Linked DNA regions of Ovis aries. The protein of the gene in region 1 purifies or fractionates together with the protein of each later gene. This does not show direct contact. Links are inferred from orthologs where the notes say so. Each region holds a gene or a part of one and is shown in the gene's direction. Other genes may lie near its edges.

Evidence for each region.
Region 2: the proteins of ANKRD28 (region 1) and PPP6R3 purify together in Homo sapiens (co-immunoprecipitation; 3 studies listed by BioGRID and IntAct, with this or other methods). This does not show direct contact. The link is inferred for Ovis aries from reciprocal best matches to the Homo sapiens genes ANKRD28 and PPP6R3.
Region 3: the proteins of ANKRD28 (region 1) and ARHGEF2 purify together in Homo sapiens (affinity purification with mass spectrometry; 3 studies listed by BioGRID and IntAct, with this or other methods). This does not show direct contact. The link is inferred for Ovis aries from reciprocal best matches to the Homo sapiens genes ANKRD28 and ARHGEF2.
Region 4: the proteins of ANKRD28 (region 1) and PPP6R2 purify together in Homo sapiens (co-immunoprecipitation; 4 studies listed by BioGRID and IntAct, counting the BioPlex papers as one, with this or other methods). This does not show direct contact. The link is inferred for Ovis aries from reciprocal best matches to the Homo sapiens genes ANKRD28 and PPP6R2.

The regions. Positions count from the first base shown.
Region 1 is NC_056054.1:273,858,800-273,864,743, reverse strand, and holds the start of ANKRD28 (serine/threonine-protein phosphatase 6 regulatory ankyrin repeat subunit A), read left to right. Parts: upstream 1-2,176; 5' UTR 2,177-3,607; coding exon 3,608-3,724; intron 3,725-4,851; coding exon 4,852-4,935; intron 4,936-5,944. UniProt on the Homo sapiens protein: Regulatory subunit of protein phosphatase 6 (PP6) that may be involved in the recognition of phosphoprotein substrates. Involved in the PP6-mediated dephosphorylation of NFKBIE opposing its degradation in response to TNF-alpha.
Region 2 is NC_056074.1:42,325,744-42,331,538, forward strand, and holds the start of PPP6R3 (serine/threonine-protein phosphatase 6 regulatory subunit 3), read left to right. Parts: upstream 1-2,231; 5' UTR 2,232-2,381; intron 2,382-2,546; exon of another isoform or gene 2,547-2,622; intron 2,623-3,077; exon of another isoform or gene 3,078-5,795.
Region 3 is NC_056054.1:105,989,431-105,994,584, reverse strand, and holds part of ARHGEF2 (rho guanine nucleotide exchange factor 2), read left to right. Parts: intron 1-441; coding exon 442-692; intron 693-898; coding exon 899-1,024; intron 1,025-1,318; coding exon 1,319-1,436; intron 1,437-1,633; coding exon 1,634-1,882; intron 1,883-3,423; coding exon 3,424-3,500; intron 3,501-3,966; coding exon 3,967-4,136; intron 4,137-5,154. UniProt on the Homo sapiens protein: Activates Rho-GTPases by promoting the exchange of GDP for GTP.
Region 4 is NC_056056.1:225,668,815-225,673,968, forward strand, and holds part of PPP6R2 (serine/threonine-protein phosphatase 6 regulatory subunit 2), read left to right. Parts: coding exon 1-96; intron 97-1,243; coding exon 1,244-1,308; intron 1,309-2,617; coding exon 2,618-2,733; intron 2,734-3,698; coding exon 3,699-3,784; intron 3,785-3,918; coding exon 3,919-3,999; intron 4,000-4,211; coding exon 4,212-4,309; intron 4,310-4,622; coding exon 4,623-4,680; intron 4,681-4,758; coding exon 4,759-4,874; intron 4,875-4,966; coding exon 4,967-5,088; intron 5,089-5,154. UniProt on the Homo sapiens protein: Regulatory subunit of protein phosphatase 6 (PP6). May function as a scaffolding PP6 subunit. Involved in the PP6-mediated dephosphorylation of NFKBIE opposing its degradation in response to TNF-alpha.

The DNA.
Region 1 (5,944 bases):
TTACAGTGTGTCTCCAAGGTGAACATCTCTGGAGATTATTATTCTCAGAAGTCTAAGTCTTAGACTCAAGGACTAAAGCAGCTTGCTCAAAGACACAGCTTTGTCTTGGAATCTGAACTCCAGGTAGGCTGACTGCTGAGCCCACAGCTTTAACTGTCATTCAGTATCATTGTTTTATATGCTGTCAACTTACAGGTTTAAGCTGCTCTCCCACTAGAGACACAGCATTCATTTTGCTGCACTTTAATACCACCATGTTTACTGGTTAAAATACATGAATCCTACCCCCACTGTCTTTCATATTTTTGCCACTCTATTCCAGAGTCTTGTGACATAATAGAATTTATTTCAGTGAGACTATTTACAGACGGAAGATATTGGAGGAAACAATATGTATGTAACATAGCCCCTGCCTTCAAGGAGCTTGCTTTCTGTTTGGGAAAAACCAAAGTACGGAATTTAACCTAGAGCAAGAAAACAGGATGTACTTGCCTAGGTCTAAGTAGGTGAACTTACATACTGGAGACTTTAGAACAAGCTAAAATTGTCTGTATAAAAAAAAGATTTTGTTTGAGGGGTGAGGCCCCCTGACAGTGACAGTATATTGTTACTATAGTGGTTTCATGCATGTCAGAATACTTGCATGTCTTTAATTTGACTGAAAACCATTTACATTTTTAAAAATAACTAAGTGATTTTTTTAGCACATTTTAGTACAGTTACGTTAGGATTATAGGTTTTTACATAAATTGATAATGGGTTTTGTTGTTAAATTCTGGCTTTCTTGTTTATATTATGCTGGATTTTTTTTTTTTTTTTTTTTTTTAGTGTTCTGATAAATCAACTGACTTAAGTGTGTGAGGTAACATTAGCCCTGAAGAACCTATTTAAAAATAACTTGTTTGGGAATATTATTGCAGTAAATAGTATGTTACTTTGTTACCTAAACTTTTCACAATCATTGAGATTGTTTGTCTCCTAAGATCACTTTTGCAGTCTGGTGTTATAGATCACAGAACTCTTTGATGAGAGTGTATGTGTATAGTCAGTGGAAGCAGAGTAGATTAGAAAGAGCATGTGTTTACAATTAGGTACAGCTTTACTAATTTGCCAACTATGGATATAATAATTTCTAAGTCTGTTTTTTCTCTGTACATATGGGAATATAGCAAGGCCATTGTGAATATTAAATGAGAATGTAACATTTAGCACAGGAATAGCTATTATGTTTATTAATAAAAATGCTGGTTGACAGATGAAAACAAAGATTGAGGCGGAATCATAGTATTCTCTTTGTCATTTTTCTGTGGGAAAATAACCCCATCCTTGAATAAAACCAAGAAATGGGGAGGAAATGGAGAAAGCCAATTATAAATTGGTTGTTTTTGACACTTATTTGTAGCTTCAGGATAATTACTTTTATAGGGAGGGAGAAGATTCTTTGCTTTGTGTTAACCCTTTACCTTTTTGGCATATAGATAATTCACTACCAAGGACTTGAAAGAATAGATTTATGTAGCTATTCAACAGATTTTAAGGCTTTGTTCCACATCCAGATGGGAAGACAGTATTATTTCTTTTGTGAAATTCAAGTGATTAGTAGAATTTTACAATTAGAATTTCTCCAATATGGGGTTTTCATTTTTCTCTTTCAAAATATGATTTGGTTGACTGAATTTAACAACTCAAGTTGTTAGTAAATCTTAAATTTCTTTTGTGTAAACTTCTTTACATTCTTGAAAATAACATACATCTAGTAGATTAAAAATGGTCTAGAGGAAATAGGCAGAAAACCTTGGGCTTATGGTATTTATGTTCTCATGAAATGCTCCTCCATCTCTAGTTCTTTCATGGGTTCACTGCATTCTCACTGCAGCTGTCACTGTAGGGTTAAACATTTGCCATATTGCAACATACGAAAGCAGTTAAACTGTTTGGAATTGTTTACTTGCTAAAACCACTGTTAGTCAGCAGAGGCAGTACACCAGATTTCCTTGTGGCTTTTAGTGGAAAATGTTAAAAGCGCACTCATTTTTCAGTTATAGAATTTTTTAGTTTGATCTGGATTAGTCACAGAACTGGCATGAACCTTCTAATTGTGAAGGCTGTCCAAACGCACCGTTTTTTTCTCCTGCTAGAGGAAGTCACATCCGGAGCAGTAGCTCAGCTCTCTGGTAAGTGAAACATGTGAGCATTACTAGGCATTTCACCCTGCGGTTCTGCAGTCCTTGCTCTTCAGAGTGTTGCTCAGTTGGAATGCTTCAATGGGGCCGATCCTGAGGTTCTCTGGTTTTTAAGGACCTACTACTCATTTGGAGGTGTCAGTGGCGGTTTGTAAGATCATATGAGGAACAGGAAAGCATCTGAAATCGACTGAAAAGGAAAACTGTAGCGGTTTTCACAGTGGAAGGAAACTATATTGGCACAGAGGCAGATGACTGAATAAAGTAGTTGGCTCAGAGAAGATGCACAGTCTGCTGTTTTTTCCTCTGAATGAAGACTCTTTGATGGAAGCTGCATTCATGTGGAGATCAAAGAAAACACTGGAATGATAAACTACTGGAGTTTTCTCCCTCTCTTTTTTAAAAATGAAAAGCCTGAAGCCGTAATTTGAGCTCAGACGCCTTCTAATTCCTTCACAGCCTGCCTGTTCCGTTAGGATTCTCCGCTAACACCGCGTCTGCTTGGTGCCTGTGCCCTTTCGCTGAAGCAGCCACAGACCACTGCCTGATGGAGGAGCAGTGAACACTCTGCTTTTCCTGTGCTGTCGATGGGAATAAAGCTAACTGTTTTCCTCTCTTATATGGAATATCTGGACTAATCAAGCCGTATTCTAGTACCAAGAGTCCTATTGTCTCTTGTGGTCTGACTCATTGCATGTAAATGTACTGCAGCTTTGCTATTAATGCAGAGTGTTGTTTTTTTTCTTTCTCAAACACAGAAAGAATTGTCAACCTCTGAGCAACGTTTTGAGAGCTCTAGCTATAGTTTTTTGTTTTTTTTTTTCCTCTGGATAGTATCTGTATTAAACCAGCGAAGCTGAAGAAGTGAAGACAAATTAGAAGTGGAAACCGAATAGTGAGATTTTATATTTTATTTTCAATGATAAGCAAGCCAGCTGCTGGTAACTATGACCTTGCAGGCAGGAGTGGGCATCGCTGTGACCGTCTGTCTCAGCACTTGCTTCTCGTCTTATTCTGTTGTGTGTGGTGCTATCACCCGAACAGTGATCTTTTTATGCAAGTGAATTTCTGTAAAACAGAGTAGTAATATGACTATCTTGGTAGCGGAAAAATAGTTTTAAATGAGCTGATTCCGGACTCAGTTTTAGTTCTTGACATGTTGATGTGAAATTTCTTCTAAGTTTTACAGTTAACTGACAGAAAATAATAGAATTGGGGTTTTTTTTTTTCTTTTTTTAGGGAGTTATGTAGTTATAATTTTAAGCTTTAGTTTTTCTGATAGTGCTTGTTAACTTTAAAAACACCAGCTGTGCTTTTTAGAGGATGATTCTAAGTGCTGTACAGAAGAGGAGGAAAAGCTACTTGTGCTCTTCCAACTGTGACTTTTACCACGTAGCTTAGAATTCAGCTTTTTAAAAGAACGAATGAGTCGAGTGTGTATTGTTGTTTTGGAGGAGGTAGAAGATGAGTCTCCTGCATTCATTTCTAAATTGCCACAGGAAAATAAATCCCTACATTCTCCACCTTCGGGAAATGTATTGGTAAGATACGAGAGTTTATATGTTTACTATCTTTTACTGAACTAGCAGGGTAAATTTTATTTTTTAAGAATAAATGCAAATTAATTTCCGCTAGTTTCATTAAAAACTCAAGTGAAAGCAATATAGGTGTGTGAGTATGATGTAATATTACTTGTGTATAAATGCACACATTTCCTATTTTCACTTTTTCAGATGTTTCGGTAACATTTCAGACTTTATCTCTTAATCTCTTAAAATGAGTTTAAAAAATAATTTGAGGATAGTAGGCTATAGCACCCATGTTTCAGTTTTTACTTTGTGGTTTTAGAAACTAATGTAGCAAGTATGAGGAACTGTATGTTTTAGGAAAGTTGACTGTTGTCAGCAACACCGAGACACAGCCTTCTCTGTCGTGAATTTTATATATTTACATGCAGGGCTGTTACAGAAAAAGAATCAGACTTCATCTTTAATTTTATTTTTAAACCTTATCAATTAACTTTTTGTTTGAGAGTATAATGTGTTACCTTATCAGAGAGGCTATATCGTTGATTAAGAACTTGTTACATTTAGACATGCATGTGTCTGCTTCTTCATGTTACTCAGATTTATAGTAATTTTTGGTCTTTGAATAATAATGATTTTCATCAGCTGTCAGGTTTTCTTTGGATTTTTATCTTTACACATGGAATGCTAACTCATGCAAATTATTCGGGTCCCCGGAACAGAGCTGCTCAAAGAGGCTTCCTCTGTGGGCTCCTTGTCAAATGCCTGTTTGACGAGCTGTGTCCTACAAGTATGTGTTGAGATGTCTCACTTGTATTTATTTGGAAGATACTTTCTTTTTACCATCTGTATAAAAAAAGGTTTCCACTCATATAAAATCTAATTATGGTTATAATACTACCTAATTTTGGTCATGTGGAATTGATTTTTTTTTCAATTAGGCCTACTCTTTTTTCCAGGGATTTCAGAGGAATCTTGTACTTTCATATGATTTGACTTCATGAAACTTGGTTCGTGTCCAAAGCCAAGTGATTTTTGTTGTGATAGGGAAGAAAAATCTTAGATTTAAAAGTTATGTGGAAATAGCTTTAGCATCATCCCTGTGGTGTGATTAATGTTTTTATTACTCTCTTGTATTTTAGCCCTCACTGGTGCAAGCTATATTTAATGGAGATCCTGATGAAGTTCGAGCACTAATATTTAAGAAAGAAGATGTTAACTTTCAGGTAAAACAGTTTCACTGATACCAGCCTTGAAGCGTACTTTGCTAGAGTTGATGATTTTTGTTAAAAGACCTAACATAATTCTGTAAGTTTCTCTAAGCAAAGGTAGAAAGGTCTTGAGGCAAAAAGGAAAGGACTGGACGTGCATATTCAGGGTAATTACTAAAACCTAGGACAAGTAGGAGTCAGTGAAGGATTTCTGTTCCCCCAACCTTTTACTTTGAAATTTTTCACAGAAAAATTGAAAAACTTCTTTGAATAGCCATATAACCTCCAGCATTGATAACATTTGCCATATTTGCTTTCTCTCCAATATTTACACAAGTTATATTTATACTACACATATATTTATTCTTTTTCTGAATCCCATTTGAAAGTAAGTTATAGACATCATGACACTTCACTGTTAAATATTCAGATGAGGATTCTTTATTGTGAACTTAGAATAAGAGACATGCCTTAAATTTATAATATATCTAACTTGGTTCTGAGGTTAAATTGCTTTCTGTAAGTAATCATGGTAAACATTATACACAAAGATGCATCTATTTGGGTATCACAGTAAATAAAAACATTGTTTGAAAGTTCTTCAGACTTTTAAAGATACAGTGGATTTAACATTCAGGACTGATGTGAGGGACAGTTTTGGAGAGTGGCTATGTAGCTAATTCTGTGTATGTTTCTCCAGTGGCAAAACTTTTTAATTTACTAAGCTGAGGTGGGTGAGAATATATAATTAACTATAATAACATCAAATTTTTTACTGTATATATTTTTACTGGAAGTTAATGTTTTCAGTATCTTTTTCATACGTGATTCAGTTCTCTAAATGATGGAGAGTAGGGAGAAGTCGTGATTCATAAGGTCCCTATAGCAACAGCAAAACAGATGACCTGGAATTGATTGGCCAGTTCTAAGAAAGCCGTGTTCTGCCACCTCATCTCCAGCACTCATCTTTCCCCTCTTCTTTTGGACAGTGTATCATGACCACTTGATGTTAAGTAGATATAAG
Region 2 (5,795 bases), on another chromosome or scaffold:
GAAGCTTCTGCTCCAATGGGTCTAGAAACAGAAAGCTGCGTTTTCAGTCCTGCTCAAAAGCATCACATTGTATAGCGCACTTTTACTGTCCTGGGGTTGCCTGCAGCAGTTCCCGTGCTCCAGGGCAAGCCTCTCTGGTCCAGCACTACTCACAGAGCACAGCCTTGCTGCTCTAAATCCAAACCATCCTTTCTAAAGTATGGCCAGCCCTGAATTTGCCCTCTGTTGCTCTGAAGTTTTTCCTTTGCTTATCCTCCAAAGCTGCCATGAGTCCCTCCCTCCCATTCTTCCCTGCTTCTCCCCCGCCCACCCAGGTTATCTGTATATAGATCCCTCTCCCTAACCCTCTGCATATCTTTTGAACTTGCTGCAATCTTTTTTGCGGGATCTTGGTTCCCAGATTAGAGATTGAACCTGTGCCCTCAGTAGTCAAAGTGCAGAATCCTAACCACTGAACTGCCAGGGAATTCCCTGGCTTCAATCTTGAAATGAATTCTTCACTAGCTGTAGGGCTTTGGGCAAGGATCAGCGCCTCTCTGAACAGTAGGATCAGGCAAGTAATATCCATCCTTGGTTGGTTGCTGCCACTCTAGAAGCCCAATACCCTTCAGGGCATGGACACAGGTGGTGTCACCATTATCTACAATCACTGGTACTTAACAGATAAGATCTGGAGGTTTAGCTGTTGTTCAGTTGCTGCAGCAAGCCAGGCTTTCCTGTTCTTCACCATCTCCCGGAGCTTTATCAAACTCATGTCCACTGAGTCAGTGATGCAGTCCAACCATTCTCGTCCTCTGTCGTCCCCTTCTTTTCCTGCCCTTAATCTTTCCCAGCATCAGGGTCTTCTCCAATGAGTCGGTTCTTTGCATCGGGTGGCCAAAGTATTGGAGCTTCACCTTCAGCATCAGTCTCTTCCTGGAAACTTAGAGGTGTTAGATTACCCAACTAAGGTCACTCAGCCAATGTGAGTGTAAATTCCTTCTGGCCTCAGTTAATTAACCGGTAAAATGGGGATGATGATTCACCAGCAGTGAAGTCTTTCTGAGTTGGCTTCCAGCTGCAGGTTTGCTGAAGGGGGGAGCTAGGGGACCGACGGGCATGTCTGCACTGGAGACCCAGCTCCCCAGGCACTAGGGGTGTGTGTTAAGTCTCTTCGGTAGTGCCCGACTCTTTGCGACCCTATGGATTGTAGCCTACCAGGGCTGACCGAGTTCAAGCTGGGCTCTCTTCTCCCTGCCATTTGGCCCGGGGGTGGGGGTGGGGTGCTCAGATAATCTGAGTCAGGGAGGTGAAGGGCCAGCTGGGGCCGAGGCAAAGGGGTGCAGAGGGAAGCACTGGCAAGGCAGACCCGGGGCCAAGCCCTGTCACTTTGCTCAGGCCCGGACTCTGGGAGGTAGCTGGGGGAAGCCCCACAGTAAGAGCCTGCCTCCGCTCCGTGAGCCGGAGTGATCATCCCTGAGCAAGCCAGTGCCCCCAGAGACACCTGTCACAGTCTCCCTGCCCGGAGCCCTCGCCAACCCGTACTGAGCCGCGCAGGTCTGTCCTCCGTGTCCCGTGGGTGGAAATGTCACCTGCTCAGAAACACCACCACCACCGCTCTATGGCCTGCTTTGCTTGTGTTGCTCAGGTGGAGTCTGACGTCCGGGACCCTCTGCTCCTGTGTACCCCGGCCGGCGGGGAACAAAGTGCTCACTACCACTACATTTGAAGAAGCAACTTCTGCATAAATCCTTCCGCAAGGCAAAAGGAAGACCACCCCCCAATCCATCCAGTTTTTCTCCCTAGCAGAGGCCGGTGCACAGATAGGGGCACCTAGCACAACTTGTCCTCACATCTCCTGGTACAAACTCCACCTTTGAGACAAGTGACATTGACTGCCAATTTCCCCGCTCCCTCCCCACCTTTATAAAATTCAGCCGTGGAGAATGCGGGCATCGATCCCGCTACCTCTCACATGCTAAGCGAGCGCTCTACCACTTGAGCTAATTCCCCAGCTCCTGGCATACTTCCGCCACCGGGACACATGGTGGCTCACGTCATCACCGGTTTCCTCCGGGCCCTCCGGCCCGCCTGCCCGCGGGTCTCGCTACCCCATTGGTTCTTGTGCAGCTCCCTTCTTGTGCAGACCTACTGCCATGATTGGCTTGGCTCACTTTAGTTTTAAAAAGCATTGGCCATCGGATTGGTGGCCCCAGCCGTCCGTCAAGAGAAGGCCCTGCTGTTGCTATGGCGTAGTTGGGGGGAACCCAGACAAGGTTTCCCTCGGTTTCTGATTTGTTGGCTCCAGACTCCGGGGTCCTAGAGGTTCCGGATCCATCAAGTCCATGGGAAAAGAATGCGCCCCCTCGCCCTTGACGGACGGTGTCCGCGAGCCAATCGGAGTAGGTTCAACGGGGGCCGCAGAGTGATCCAATAGGCGGCAGGGGGCGGGAGAGGAAGGCCAGTGAGCGCGGAGCCGGGGGCGGGGGCAGGGTCGTGATTGGCCGCGAGGCGCTCGGAGGGAGGGCGGGGGGAACTCAAGGCCTGCTTGATACGTCCGCCATTTTGGGCGCTTCGCTGATGGTGTCGGTGAGCGCGTTTCCCGCCTGAGCGCAACTAGCGGCGAGTCGCGGGCACCTCCAGGTAATGAGGAGGGGGGGGCGCGGCGGAGCGGGCCGCAGCGCGGGGTGCGCTGGGTGCGCGGCGCGCGGGCGGCGGCGGCGGGGCTCCTCCGCCCGGCCTCGGCGGCGCGGGGAGGGAGCGTCCCGGCCCCCTCCCCTCCCCCCCGGAATTCGCCTCTCGGCCGCCGGGGAGGCGCGGCGCCCGGGCTCCCTGGCCCGTCCCCGCCCGCGCCTGTCAGCCGCCCGCTCGCCCGCTGCGGGGCCCCTCGCCGAGTCGGGCCGCGGGCCGGGAGGCGAACTTTGCGCCCGGGTTGACGTCCGCGGCCTGGCGCGGCGGGCGGGCGGGCCGCCGGCCGGGCGCGCCCCTCACCCGGCCGGGCCCCGCTCCGCGCCGGCCGGCCCGCCCCGAGCGAGCACCGCCCGCTGCCCGCGGGCCCCGGACAAGTTCTCTGGGCGCGGGCCCCGCAGCGTGTCAAGTTGAGGCGGCGGCGGCTCGCCGGAGACTCCCGAAGAGGCCATTGTTGGACTCGGTTCTCCGGGAAACAAGTTCTGTGGGTTTCTGCTCCCTCGCCGCAGAGTCAGCGGGATACGCCGGCGCCCGGCTCGGAGTGTTTAAAACCTCCTTCCGAGTGATTTTTTTTTTTTTTTAAACTCCAGGGTTGCGACTCCAGCTCAGACCTGGTCGCGAAAGCCTCCCTGGCGAATACGCGCTAGGGTGGGGGGGGTGGTCCTCTCGGCCGCAAGTACCTCCCTCTTAAAGAAGCCCTCTCGCCGCTCCCTTGGAGGGGTTTCCTGCGGCCCGGCTTTCTCTGACCACAACTTGGACTCTTGGTTGGAGGTGAATGGCACGAGTCCTTGGATGCACCTGGGTGTCTTGGCGTCTCACCCTCCGAGCTCCGTGTAATCTCTGTACTTAACCCATTTTCTCTGTGGGTCGGATCGAGCTTTTCTGGGAGCGGCGCTTGGGAGTTGTTTCCTTTTATCGTCACAGCACTTGTGAATGTGGCTGTTTTGTTAACGTGGAGTTGACTGCGATTTTGTCCTCAAGGTCACGTTGTAGGTAGGCAGCAAGTGGGAAAGAGGCTCCGGATTTCCAGCCGCTGGAAGACCCACTGAAGGGATGGTGTTGGAGCTTCTTTTGCTGTCGAGTTAGATGGCGTGGTTTCCAGATCTTGGCTTCACCACTTTCTGGCGCTGTGACCTTGGGCAAGTCCCTCAACCTCTCTGCTTTTTCTGTAATACGGGAATAACAGCAGTGGCTGCCTCAGCAGTCTGTCGGGAGGAAATGAGTTAATATGTGTAAAGCAGCTAGAAACGGTGCCTGGCGTGAGGAATCCGCTTAGTAATTAGTGGCTATTATTAATTTGGATTTGGTTTTTAAATGTTTAGATAGTATTGGGAAGTCCTGGCTTTTCGTGGCTGTCTTTAGAAAGCTCTTGTGTTTTTAAGAGTCTTTCCGGCTGAGAACCACCCAGGAGAGGGTGGCTGAGGATTGATTACGTTTACAGACGTTTTCTGGAGTCATTAGTGGTGATGCCTCAGACTGGCTTGTTGAAGAGATGGTTAAATAAAAGCCCACCAGGAGCTCACGTCAGATTTTGTTCCTCCTGTACTTTTGAATACCGCTTATTGCGTGTGATTGGCCCCCAAATCAGTAGTAACTGGAGAGTTTCTTAGTGTACTCTTGGGTTCTTACTGAGGTTTGAAAGGTTACTGTGTATTGAGATATTTTTCAGTGAAGGTACTTTGGGAAATAACTGTTGTCCTGGGTGGATGCTTTCGAAGTTATTTTGCATTTCAGCTAAGTTTGATCAGAGAGTCTAGAATATCTAACAGAATGCCATCCACTCATGCATCTACTCAGAGTCTATTGATTCCTGCCCTGTGGTCTTCTCCCTGCTGCTTGAAACCAGGCTTGTCCTTCCCCTGGAATTACCTGCTTGGGACCTGGCTTGCTTTGTTGCCCTGGGAAATGTTAATTTGATAGACTCCGTCTTAAGTAGAGATGAACATCTTGCTGGTGTAACTTACTGAACAGGAAGAAGATTGTTTTAGATTAGAAAACTAGCTTTTGTGTAAAGTATAGCAGAACAAAACTTGATGGTTTCAATTAACTGCCTGGCAATTTGAGAATCAGACCCTAACTGGACAGAAAAGGAATAGTGATGAAGTTAAGGCCTGACAGGGTGAGGCTTGTTTAGTCTCTTTGAAATAAATTTTGGCGCTGATGTGGTACAGAGATAAGGTGCTTATTACAGACAAGACATCTTCCTTAAAACAGTATTTGTCAGGATTGGTATTTAGTTTGCTTCTTTGATAAACTTGAATCTTGTGGTTTTATATATTGGATATTTGAGAGGTAGCCTGAGTATATATTTGTCTAAAATTTTACAATGCTTTCTTACTGATATAGAATGGTTAAGAATGGTAGTGACAGTGAAGGTCTTGTAACCATCTGCTCAATTAAAACTCAGTTTATTTACGTACAAAGCACAAGAGGCTGTGGTTGGTTCTCATAAGCCCTGGTGTGGCCAAGTAGAGTTGACTGCTTTTTCTTAGGTGAGCTGGATGGAAAGAATAGACCTGATTTCTTGGCTTTTGGAAGTTTTCTTATTTTTTTCCCTTCTTAAAGGAGCCTCAGATGACCGTTTTTTAATTTACTCTAGAGCAGTAGTTCTCAACTTTGGGGGGCGGATTTTGCCCCCAAGAATCATCTGGTGATATCTGGAGAAGTAAATTTTGCTTGTCACATCTGTGGAGTTGGGCCGTGGCTTCTAGAAGGTAGAGACCAGGGATGCAGCTGGACACCCTGTGATGCACAAGATGGCAGCCTCACCCCTCAGCAGGACGTTAGCCCCCCAGAGGTCAGCGGTGCTGAGGTCGAGAAACCCTGCTCCAGACAGATGGTGAGCTGACCTGCTTTGGGATCATTGGGGATACTTTTCAAGACTGTTCTGTAAATGTGTGATGAGAGTGAGAACGTTTCTAAAAGCTCCCGAGTAATACTGATGTGCAGCTAGGTTCTGGCACCACTAGACCACAGATTTCAGGAGCTGCGTGTGGGTCAAGGGGTCCTGTCACCTGTGAGCTTGTCTATACCTCGACCCTCCTGGGACATGACTTAGTAATGGGGAAAGATGGTATACATCATTTTCAGGTGCCTGAAGACTGAGCTTTGAAAAACATTTTTTAAAG
Region 3 (5,154 bases), about 170 Mb from region 1:
TTATCCCATTGGCCTTCAAGACCCTGCCAGTGATCCCATAAGTAGCTACGAGGTCCACAGCTTTTGGAGCTGTTGACCTCCAAGGCCCTTCGTAATCCCTTCCTTCCAGTCAACTCTTAGTCTTTCCTCTCTGCCCATTGCATGCCCAGCTCTGTGCTGGGGACTGTGGGAAGTCTAGGCATGTAAGGAACACATAGTTTTTGACTTTATACCTTGAGATGGCAAGAGTGAGCCCCTCTTAGCCCCTTCCCCTGCCTGTCTCCACAGCCTCATTCTGCCTTGAGATGGCAAGGCATAAAGATAAATGATTAGAAAAATGATCTAAGATCATAACGCAGAATATTAGCCTGGAAGGGAAACTGAAAACCTCTAATAAGCCTGAGGTCTCCAGCCTTGGCCCCACCAGTTGTGGCCAAGCCGGGTGTTCCACCGTCCCCACAGAGCTGATCCAGACAGAGCTGCACCACGTGCGGACACTGAAGATCATGACCCGCCTCTTCCGCACGGGCATGCTGGAAGAGCTGCAGCTGGAGCCAGGAGTGGTCCAGGGCCTGTTCCCCTGTGTGGACGAGCTCACTGACATCCACACGCGCTTCCTCAGCCAGCTGCTGGATCGCCGGCGCCATGCCCTATGCCCTGGTAGCACCCGGAACTTCGTCATCCATCGCTTGGGGGACCTGCTCATCAGCCAGGTGAGAAAAGCCAGGAGCCCTGGGCAGCAGTCTTGGGCGGGGGTGTGACTAGAGTGGGCATTTCTCATCTCCAGACTCTGGGGGGTGGGGCAGAGAGAGTTGGAAAGGCAGGAAGCCAGCCTGTTTGGCAGGAGGCGAGAGGGCATTGGGGATGAGAGGTGACTTTGGGGGACATGCTGACCCAGCCTTGCTCCCCCAACTTCTAGTTCTCAGGTCCTAGCGCAGAGCAGATGCGGAAGACCTACTCAGAGTTCTGTAGCCGCCACACCAAGGCCTTAAAACTCTATAAGGAGCTGTATGCCCGAGACAAACGCTTCCAGCAGTTCATCCGGGTGAGCAAACCTCTCCAAGACCCACCCTCCGCCTCCTGTAGTGCCCCAGCCCTAGTGGACACAGCTGCTCGTTTTTCCAGGGGTAGAGCGAGTGCTCTCGCTCCTTGGGTCCTCACAGTAAACCTGTGACCTTGTCGGCCCCATTTTCCAGAGTCATTAACCTCCCGCCAGCCAGCATGAGGTAAATGACCAAGTGCAGGCAGGCACCAGGGCTTAGGCTCCAAGTCCAGCGTCCTTTCTGGTGCCCTCCCCGCGGGTGCCCCTCTGGCACTGAGCCCTGACCTCGCTTTGTAGAAAGTGACCCGCTCGGCGGTGCTGAAGCGGCATGGGGTACAAGAGTGCATTCTGCTAGTGACTCAGCGCATCACCAAGTACCCAGTGCTCATCAACCGCATCCTGCAGCATTCCCACGGTGAGAGGGCGAGTCCAGGCGGGAGGAGGAGGGAGAGGGCTGTCAGGGGTGAGGCGTGGCCCTGGACAACCACCGGGAGGAAGAGGGTCACATATGGAACCCTGGGCAGCCTCTGAAGGCGGCATTGAGATCAGTGGGTTGGGGACTGGCGTGAAGCTGGCTGGGCCACCCCTTCCTCACGCCGACCTCGGTGTCAGGGATGGAGGAGGAGCGCCAGGACCTGACCACGGCCCTGGGGCTGGTGAAGGAGCTGCTGTCCAACGTGGACCAGGATGTGCACGAGCTGGAGAAAGGGGCCCGCCTGCAGGAGATCTACAACCGCATGGACCCTCGGGCCCAGGCCCCGGTTCCCGGCAAGGGCCCCTTTGGCCGAGAGGAGCTCCTGCGGCGCAAGCTCATTCACGATGGCTGCCTGCTCTGGAAGACTGCGACTGGGCGCTTCAAAGGTCAGTGGACAGCTTGGCAGACCAGGCAAGAGTCCATGGCCAGAGGGAGAAGCCTCCAAGCCCATAGGACCTCTTTTAATGTAGCCCTGGTGAGACCCAGTGGGAGGAAAATATGTGAGCTCTGTTGTAACAAAAGTCAGAATTCTGGATTTAATTTCATGGGCGATACAAGGACTTCGTTGTCAGGATTTGTTCATTCCTTTGGTCCTTGCATGCCCAGAAAGCTACCGATTTTGATGAGAAAAACAGAGAAATTCCAGGATTAGAGGACTAGCCCCTGGTAATTGGTTCTACCAGCTGGAGTCCCAGCCACTAGGGCTGGGGAATGGGCAGGCACTTTGGGAACACAGCTGAGGAAGGCCCTTGGAGGGGGTGGAGCCCAGGGAAGGGCGGGCCAAGTGGAGAAGAGAAAAGACTGCAGGGAAGGTGTGTTCAGGGCGGGGCGCACTGTCCCAGCCTCTCTTCCCAGACTATACTGGGCAAGGCTTGCCTACCTAAATCAAAGCAGAAGAGTCGCAGACCTCAGCTTTAGGTGTGAGGAATGCTACCTGAGGCCAGAGCTTGCCTGCACCTCTGTCCCGTGTCGTGAAGTCCCCACTCCATAGGCTTGAGTATTGCAGGCTTTGCCAGCCACTTTCCTCCATCCCTTTCTCTCCTTCCCATCCCTCCCACGCAGCAGCTAAGAATATAAACCATGGGGGGGTTAAAAATAGCAAGGCTGAAGAGCTTTATTTCTGAAGCCTTTAGCAGAAGCCCTCCCCTTCTGTGTGCCCACAACTTAGAAAGATCTCCAAGGGCAGAGGATGCATGTGTTTTCCTGACTGTGACATCTGACTTTCATGGGTTGACCTTTGTCTCCCCCAAGTCTTAAAGCACAGGACCCCGTAGAATGTGAGGGCCTTGAAGGTGGGGCAGAAAAGGAAAATGAAAGCAGGGCCTGCTGTTGTTGAAGGAGATTGGGATTGTTCAACAGTGGGAGAAATGAATAAGGAACCTAACTGTTCCCCTCCCCATGGAGCACAAAATAAGAAGTGGGGAATATGCTGGCATGGGGGGAATCTTAGACCAAATATCCAAAAAGATCTTATGTCAGTTGTTCAACATGGAACTGAAAGGCTCTGGGAGTCGTTTTACCCTCACAAGAATTCTGGACCCTTTCACACAGAAAAACACACGTGTGATAGATTAATATGTAAAAATTGCTTATGGAACTTTAGAGGATCTACAGAGCCTCTGAAGCGTGATAGCAGACAACCTAGGTGTCGGCAGACCACAGGCTAAGGAGCATTCATTGGATAAAGAGGCTTTTATTCAAGGCCACTGGGTGATTGCTTATAGGCATCTCTAGCCCAAGAAACTGTTTTGTCTGATGACACATGTGTCCCCCCCGCCCCCCACCGTTTCTGAGCTGTAGGAATGGGGAGAGGTGGGAGGTCTGCGAAGGGGGAGGAAACAACCAGAGGGAGAGAGGTCGGGGAAAGGGAAACAGCTGCTCGCATCCTCTAACGCTGACTCTCCTCCTGCCTCCATCCCCCTGCCAGATGTGCTCATGCTGCTGATGACAGATGTGCTGGTGTTTCTCCAAGAGAAGGACCAGAAGTACATCTTTCCTGCCCTGGTGAGACCTTCCACCTTCTTTCTCAGCATAGACAAGTGTTTCAGACCCTTCTTACTTTCCTACCCTGGCCAGGAAATCCTCCAACATCAAATAGCTATTATTGTAACCACTGCCGTAATATAATCAGGAAAAATAAGAAGAGCCAATGCATATAAATATGATCAGAAGGAATAAGAAGAGCCAACGCATATTGTTACTATATGCAGCCACTTTTTTTTACACGTGTTAGGAAGGCACATGATTATCCTCTTTTTGTAGATGAGAAAAGTAAAGCTTAAAGTTAATTAAATTGTCAAAGGTCACAGACGTTTCTCTAAGTCCACTCTGGCTGGCACCAGAGTCTGAGCTCTTAACTTATATTCTCGGCTGACTCTTCAATCCTTTGGATACTCCAGGAGGACTGAAGACTCAAATATCCAGGGGTCAGGATTCCCAGCTTTAATCCTTCCTGTGCCCCAATTGGCAGGACAAGCCCTCGGTGGTGTCACTGCAGAATCTCATCGTGCGGGACATCGCTAACCAGGAGAAAGGGATGTTTCTGATCAGTGCGGCACCCCCTGAGATGTACGAGGTCCACACGGCATCCCGGGATGACCGGAGCACCTGGATCCGCGTCATTCAGCAGAGTGTGCGAGTGTGAGTGTGTGCATGGACTTGTGGTTCCTGCAGTTTGGGGCGTTGGACCACAGCACTCCCAGGGAACAGAACCCAGGGTTCAGAAGTGGAAGGAGAGGCCAGGAGAGAGACAAGATGGCCCAAGGCAGGCAAGGTCATTTATGTTCTCTTGCCCGGTAAAGTTGCATTTTATACAGTGACAACCCCAACCGCCTTCTGAATGCACCATGAGCTGACAAGCCAAAGGAATACTTTAAGTTGGCACGTGCCGGCATGCCTGCCAGTCAGCAGTACAGTTTCACCTCCATTAACATCTTAGTCTGTAGGCAGTGGGCCATTATTTGGACTGTATTGTCTTTCACCTTCATTTTCTAAAAATGAATGAAAAAGAGAATAATGAAAAAAAAAAGAAAAAAAGGATAATGAAAGCATTGATACTAGTGATCAGAGGGGCAAGACTGAAACAAACTCCATACGATAGAGGCTACAAAGAAATCATTTTGTGTGCTAAAGCAGCAAATCTCTGGCTTCTGTTGGACACACATCAGATCTGAGTATGTGTCTGTTGTGATCAAAGAAAGTAAAGGGGCTTCCTTGGTGGCTCAGACGAAGAGCTGCCTTCAATGCAGACAAAAAGTCAAGTGCATGTAAAATGTCGAAAATGGATTCTCAGGCTTCCCTGGCAGCTCAGTGATCAAGAATCCTCCCGCCAGTGCAGGAGACACAGGTTCAATCCCTGATCCGGGAAGATCCCACATGCCTCGCAGCAGCTGACCCCATACCCCACAACTACTGAGCCTGTGCTCTAGAGCCTGGGAACTGCAGCTGCTGAGCCCACGGGCTGCAGCTACTGAAGCCTGAGCGCCCTAGGGCCCATCCTCCACAGCAGCAAGAGCCACCACGGTGAGGAGCCTGTACACCGTGACTAGCAAATAGCACCCACTTGCCGCACCTAGAGAAAAAGCCTGTGCAGCCGCTAAGACCCAGCACAGCCAAAAATAAATAAATAAAACTTTAAAAAAGAAAAGAAAGTACATTC
Region 4 (5,154 bases), on another chromosome or scaffold:
GGACCCGAGGGGGCACTGGAGCCTCCACCCTCCAGCGGGGACCCAGCAACCCCCCAGCCTGCCAGCAGCCTCCCCGAGAGCACCATGGTGACCCACGTAAGTCCAGCCGGGGTCATGTGAGTTGCCGTGTCCCGCCTGTCTCTGCATCCTGTGTGCCCTGAGGTCCACCCAGGCCGTGTGCACAGGCGGGGCTGTGGGCCTTGTGTGGTCTCCTTAACCCTCGCATGACGTGGGTGGGCTGCTCTGCTTTTGAAACCAGGAGACAGGAGACCCCAGCGCTTGTGGGTGGAGGGTCCAGGAGGGGTGCCGAGGAGCCCTGATGCTGCCTGTGCTGGGTCATCTGGGCTGTGGGAGTGAGCGGCCCCCAGATGGTGTGTCTGCCGCGGTAGGAGTGCCCGGGGAAGAGCAGACGCACCTTGATTCTCACGGGGGGGCTTCCTGGGGCTGTGAGCCTCTGGGGAGAGTGGCGGCTCTGCACGGCTCTCCCGATAGCCCGATAGCCCGAGACCCCCAGGGCCGGCCTTCTGGGGGCTGCAAGCCCTGCGTGGCCAGTGCCAGGCCTGCAGGGAGTTGGTCTAAGCGCTCCTTGGCGCTCCCTAAGGAGGGGAGGGAAAAGCAGAACATGGCACACGTGGTCCCCAAGCCAAGAGCCCAGCGGTGCACACTGGGCCCCAGGAGTCAGCCATGCCGCCCTCCTGCAGGTGACGCGAGGCCAGGGCGGGGGGGTGGTGGCGGGGCAAGGGTCCCCTGGGTCTGTGGCCAGAGGCCTGGGAGAGAGTCCTGAGGGGCCATGCCTGCAGGCCTGACCTGGGCGACAGCAAAGGCAGCTTCCTTGGGGAGAGGGCCGCGGGGCAGGGGGGCGGTGCTTGGGCCCTCCCACATGGTGAGGCTGCATGTGGGTGCAGGTGCGGCTGAGACCGGCACAGCCTCTGCAGGCGGGGTAGCTTCGAAGGGCTGGGGGCAGGGCAGCCCCGGGCCAGCGGCCTCTGCCCCGAGGAGCGAGAGCAGGGGCATGGCCAGCGGCAGGCGGCGGGGTGGAACTCGTGTCCCCTCGTGGATGGCCCTGGACGGCACTTGCCTGGGGCTGTGGTGGGGACCGTAGGGCTGGGCTCTGATGCTAGGTGTGCCCACAGGGAGCTCGGGGCTGACGTGTCCGCGTGCTGCCTGCTGAGCCCACTCAGCCCCGGGGGTGGGCGGACGGGGCGTGCTGCCCGCTGACCTGACCGCTGCCGCCTGTCCCCAGCTGTTCCAGAAGTGTTGCCTGGTCCAGAGGATCCTGGAGGCATGGGAAGCCAACGACCACACTCAGTAAGAGCCCTGGGGCCTGCGTGGGGCTCGGGGGGGGTGCCACGGAGGGTTTGTTTCCGAAGACAGGCCCCACTGCTGGGGGAGCAGCTGTGCTGCTGGCGGGGCTGAGGCGCAGGGCAGGCAGGCGGCGCAGCTGGGCCGCACTCAGGATCCTGCTCCTTGAGGCCTGCTTGCCTGGCTTTGGGGCCCCTCGCCTGCTCAGCAGCGGAGACCCCAGTCCTGTGTTCCACACCGTCTCAGGTCCCCGTGCTGGCCTCCAGCTGTGGTGCTCACAGAAGCCTCAAACCCTGGGCAGAGTGCCCAGGCCAGTCCCTGCCTCCTCCCTGCCCCTCCTGGCCTCTGGTCCCTTTGATCGGCTGGGGCCTCTCTCAAACGAGCAGGTGGTGTCGCCCGCCGCTCAGAGGTCTCGACTGCCTGGGTACGTGGTGTGACTGCAGGGCCCCCTCTGCTCCCACTCTGCCCTCCTAAGAGCTGCTCTGGGCGGGGCTCTCTGCGACCTCAGCTGGTTCATCCTTCCCGTCCTGCTGTGCTGAACCCACAGATCTGCGTCCGTCCTCACGGAGCCCCAGGCACAGCGGGGTCACCCTGGCTCCCGCTGGGCCCGGGTGTGGTGACTCGGGAGGCCTGTGCTGGGTCTCCTCCTGTGTGTCGCCTGTTGGTGCACACGTGTGTGTGCCTGTGTCGAGAGATGGCTCGGAGCTGTTAACCGAGGAGTCTCTGAGCCCCAGGAAGCGGTGGACAGGTGACGCCTCAGCCGAGCTCTGTGTCCTGAGCAGCTTGCTCACAGGCCTCCACCCTCGTGCGGCTTCGCCTCTGGCTGGTTCCTCCCAGTCTCGTGGCCCCTTTCCCCTGCTGGGGGGCCCCCGAGTCAGCTCCCTTGGTGTCCTCTCTGGCTGTGCCTGGGCTGAGCAGAGAACACGGCGCAGAGCAGGAGCCGCCCCTGGGGACCCGAGCCTGCGTCTTCCCGTCCTCTGCTGTCGGCCGCCCAGGGGGCAGATGAGAGGTTGAGGAAGGGCCGTGTGGGCGTGCTGGTGGCCACCAGCCAGGGCAGGGACAGCCACCCCTGCTGCTGCCCACTGCTGGGTCCCCGGTTGGCCCTCAGTCTCCCTGGGTCTTGGGACGCCCTCGGGCAGCTCTCGCGGCCCCGACGCGACCCTGGTGTGCCGGGCCTCCGGCTGTGCAAAGTTGAGTCGGGGGCGCTGGCGCCGAGCACATGGCTCAGCGAGCTCCGCGGGGAGGAGGCCTGTGGGAGGCGGCGGCCGACGCTGCGCCACGCGGGGCCCCGCTGACCTGATGCTCCCTCTCCTAGGGCGGCGGGCGGCATGAGGCGCGGGAACATGGGCCACCTCACCCGGATTGCCAACGCGGTGGTGCAGAGCCTGGAGGGGGGCCCCCTGCAGAGCCAGGTCAGCGAGGCCTTCCGAGGTGAGCGCCTCCAGGCCCGGGCGTCGCTGCCCGCGGTGCCCCCTGCGCTGCGGCCGTCGTCGCGTGGGACAGGCCCTGCTGCTGGACGGTCAGCTCGCCTCCCACGGGGTGACCTGCCCAGTGGGCCTTGGGCCTGAGTCGGTTCCCTGCCGAGCCCTGTGCTGTTAGTAAGAGCAGCCCAGAGCCCTTTGGGGCCCCCTCTCATCGCGGTCTGCGGCCTCTCCACCTGGGGCTGCCGTGTGCCCCTTGTGTATCCCGGACGGCACTCTTCAGCTCCCAGCAGCGCATCGTGGGCTGAGCTGGGGGGGCCTGAGGGGTTCAGATGGGAGAAGGTGGGCAGCCTGGCCTCTCGGGGAGGAGGACAGCACCTCTGAAGCAGTGGGTGCCAGCAGGGGTGAGCACTCGGGGCGCCAGGGGCGAGTGCACACAAGCCGGGCCCGAGGGCGGGATTCTGAGGGCAGTGAGGGGCTGTGGGCGGAGGCTGAGGACAGGCCCGGCCCGGGGCGAGGGGGCGCTGGGGAACGCTGAGCAGGCGCGCACCATCTGGGAGCCCTGGCTGGCTGTGTGTGCCGCCTGGGGCCCCTGAGCCTGCCGAGGCGCGGGAAGCTGCCTTGCCGATGTGCAGCTGGTCGTTCGCGTGCATACGGCCTTGGCGTGTTCCCTGCCGTGCCCCGCCAGACACCTCTGCAGTGGCCGCCGTGGCCCCCACAGCCCAGGGACAGCTGTGAGCTCAGCAGCTGGGGGGGCCTCCGATACCAGCATGGCGCTCAGTCCCTGGTGGGCTGGGTCAGTGTCTCTCATGGAGGCGTGCGCCCCTGACGGCCCTGTGCAGGGGACGGGGAGGGCGTCGGGGCCCGGTGTGCCCGGGAACACTCGCCCACGGGCTCGGGCCTGTGAGGCCAGGACGGGTGCGCGCTGCCGCGGGGTTCCAGAAACCAGGGGCTCAGTGCGCGGCCTTCCCACAGGGCTCCCGGCGGACTGCCGCGGGCGCTGGGAGAGCTTCGTGGAGGAGACGCTGTCGGAGGCCAACCGCAGGAACGCGGTGGACCTGGTGAGCAGGCCTGGCCTCCGGGCAGAGCTCTGCGGGCCCTGCGGTTCCACCCGGCCTGGGCTCACGGGGCTGCCTGTGCAGAGGGCTGGGGCGGCAGGGTGCCCGCTCACGCCTGCCCGCCCTGGCCGTTGCAGGTGGGCACACAGCACCTTCACCCCTCGAGTGAGGACGAGGACATGGAGGGCGTCCTCCCCAGCGGGCTGTCGCTGCAGCAGGTGCGTGCGGCCAGGCCTCCGCGTCCCCACGGCGCCGCGCCCTGCGCGCCGCCAGAGCCGCCAAGGGGGCCCCGGGCACTCTGCACCCATGGGACCCTTGGGGACGTGGTTGGCTCTGTGGGCGTGGCCGCCTTGGGCGCCCACCCAAGCGGGCAGGAGCTGGGAGAAGTCGCTGAGGGCGTCTCCTGAGAGCAGCCGGCCCTGTCGTCCAGGCGTTCTCCGAGTACCAGGTCCAGCAGATGACAGCCACCTTCGTGGACCAGTTTGGCTTCAGCGACGAGGAGTTTGCTGAGCAGGACGACAGTGTCAAGTGAGCCAGCAGCCTCTGCCCGCCTCCCTCGTGCCCGCCGCGTCCTCGGTGCCTGTGGGCGGGAGCTGGGTGCCGCTTGGCCTGACCAGGTCCCTGGCCTGCGGTCAGCACGGCTCAGGCTGTCACACCACCTCCTCAGCTGGACCCACATGCAACCCCAGGGTCTCGAGGTGCCCTCCGGGGAGGGCGGCAGGCGGGTCGCCCCTGGCTGTGAGCCTGCAGTGTGGCGCCCCCGCCCCCACCCCTCAGGTCCAGACGGGGCCACCTCCCGCCCCTTCTGGTGGAGGTCACGGTGTCCCTGCTGTCCTTGCAGCGCCCCATTCGACAGGATCGCAGAGATCAGCTTCAGCGTCGATGCCGATGACGATAGCGTGAGTCCGCGGGGTCTCTCGGAGGCGGCCAGGCTTTGTGGGCGCAAGGCCACGGGGCCCACGTGCACTCTCTCGCAGCCTGGCGCCGCGCTGTTTGAGGCCTGCTGCAGCGACCACATCCAGCCCTTCGACGAGGACGACGATCTCTGGGAGGCAGAGGAGACGCACCGTGCGGCCCGCGTGACCAGAGCCAGGTGGGCCGGGACGCGCCGGCCCCGCCCCACCTCAGCCCCGCCTCAGCCCCGCCCCAGCGCTCGGGGAGGGCAGCTGGCTCCTCTCCCCCCAGGTTCGGGGCCCCCCACGCATCAGAGCGCTGCCTGAAGGACGGCCCAGAGCGCCGAGGCCAGGGTACAGGCGAGGGTGTGGACGCAGCTCAGGCAGGCTCGCCGTGCGAGGGCGGCTCAGAAGGTAGGTGACGGGGCTGTGGGGGGCTTGGTGGAGACGCAGAGACAAAGGGTCTGGTGACCCCACCCT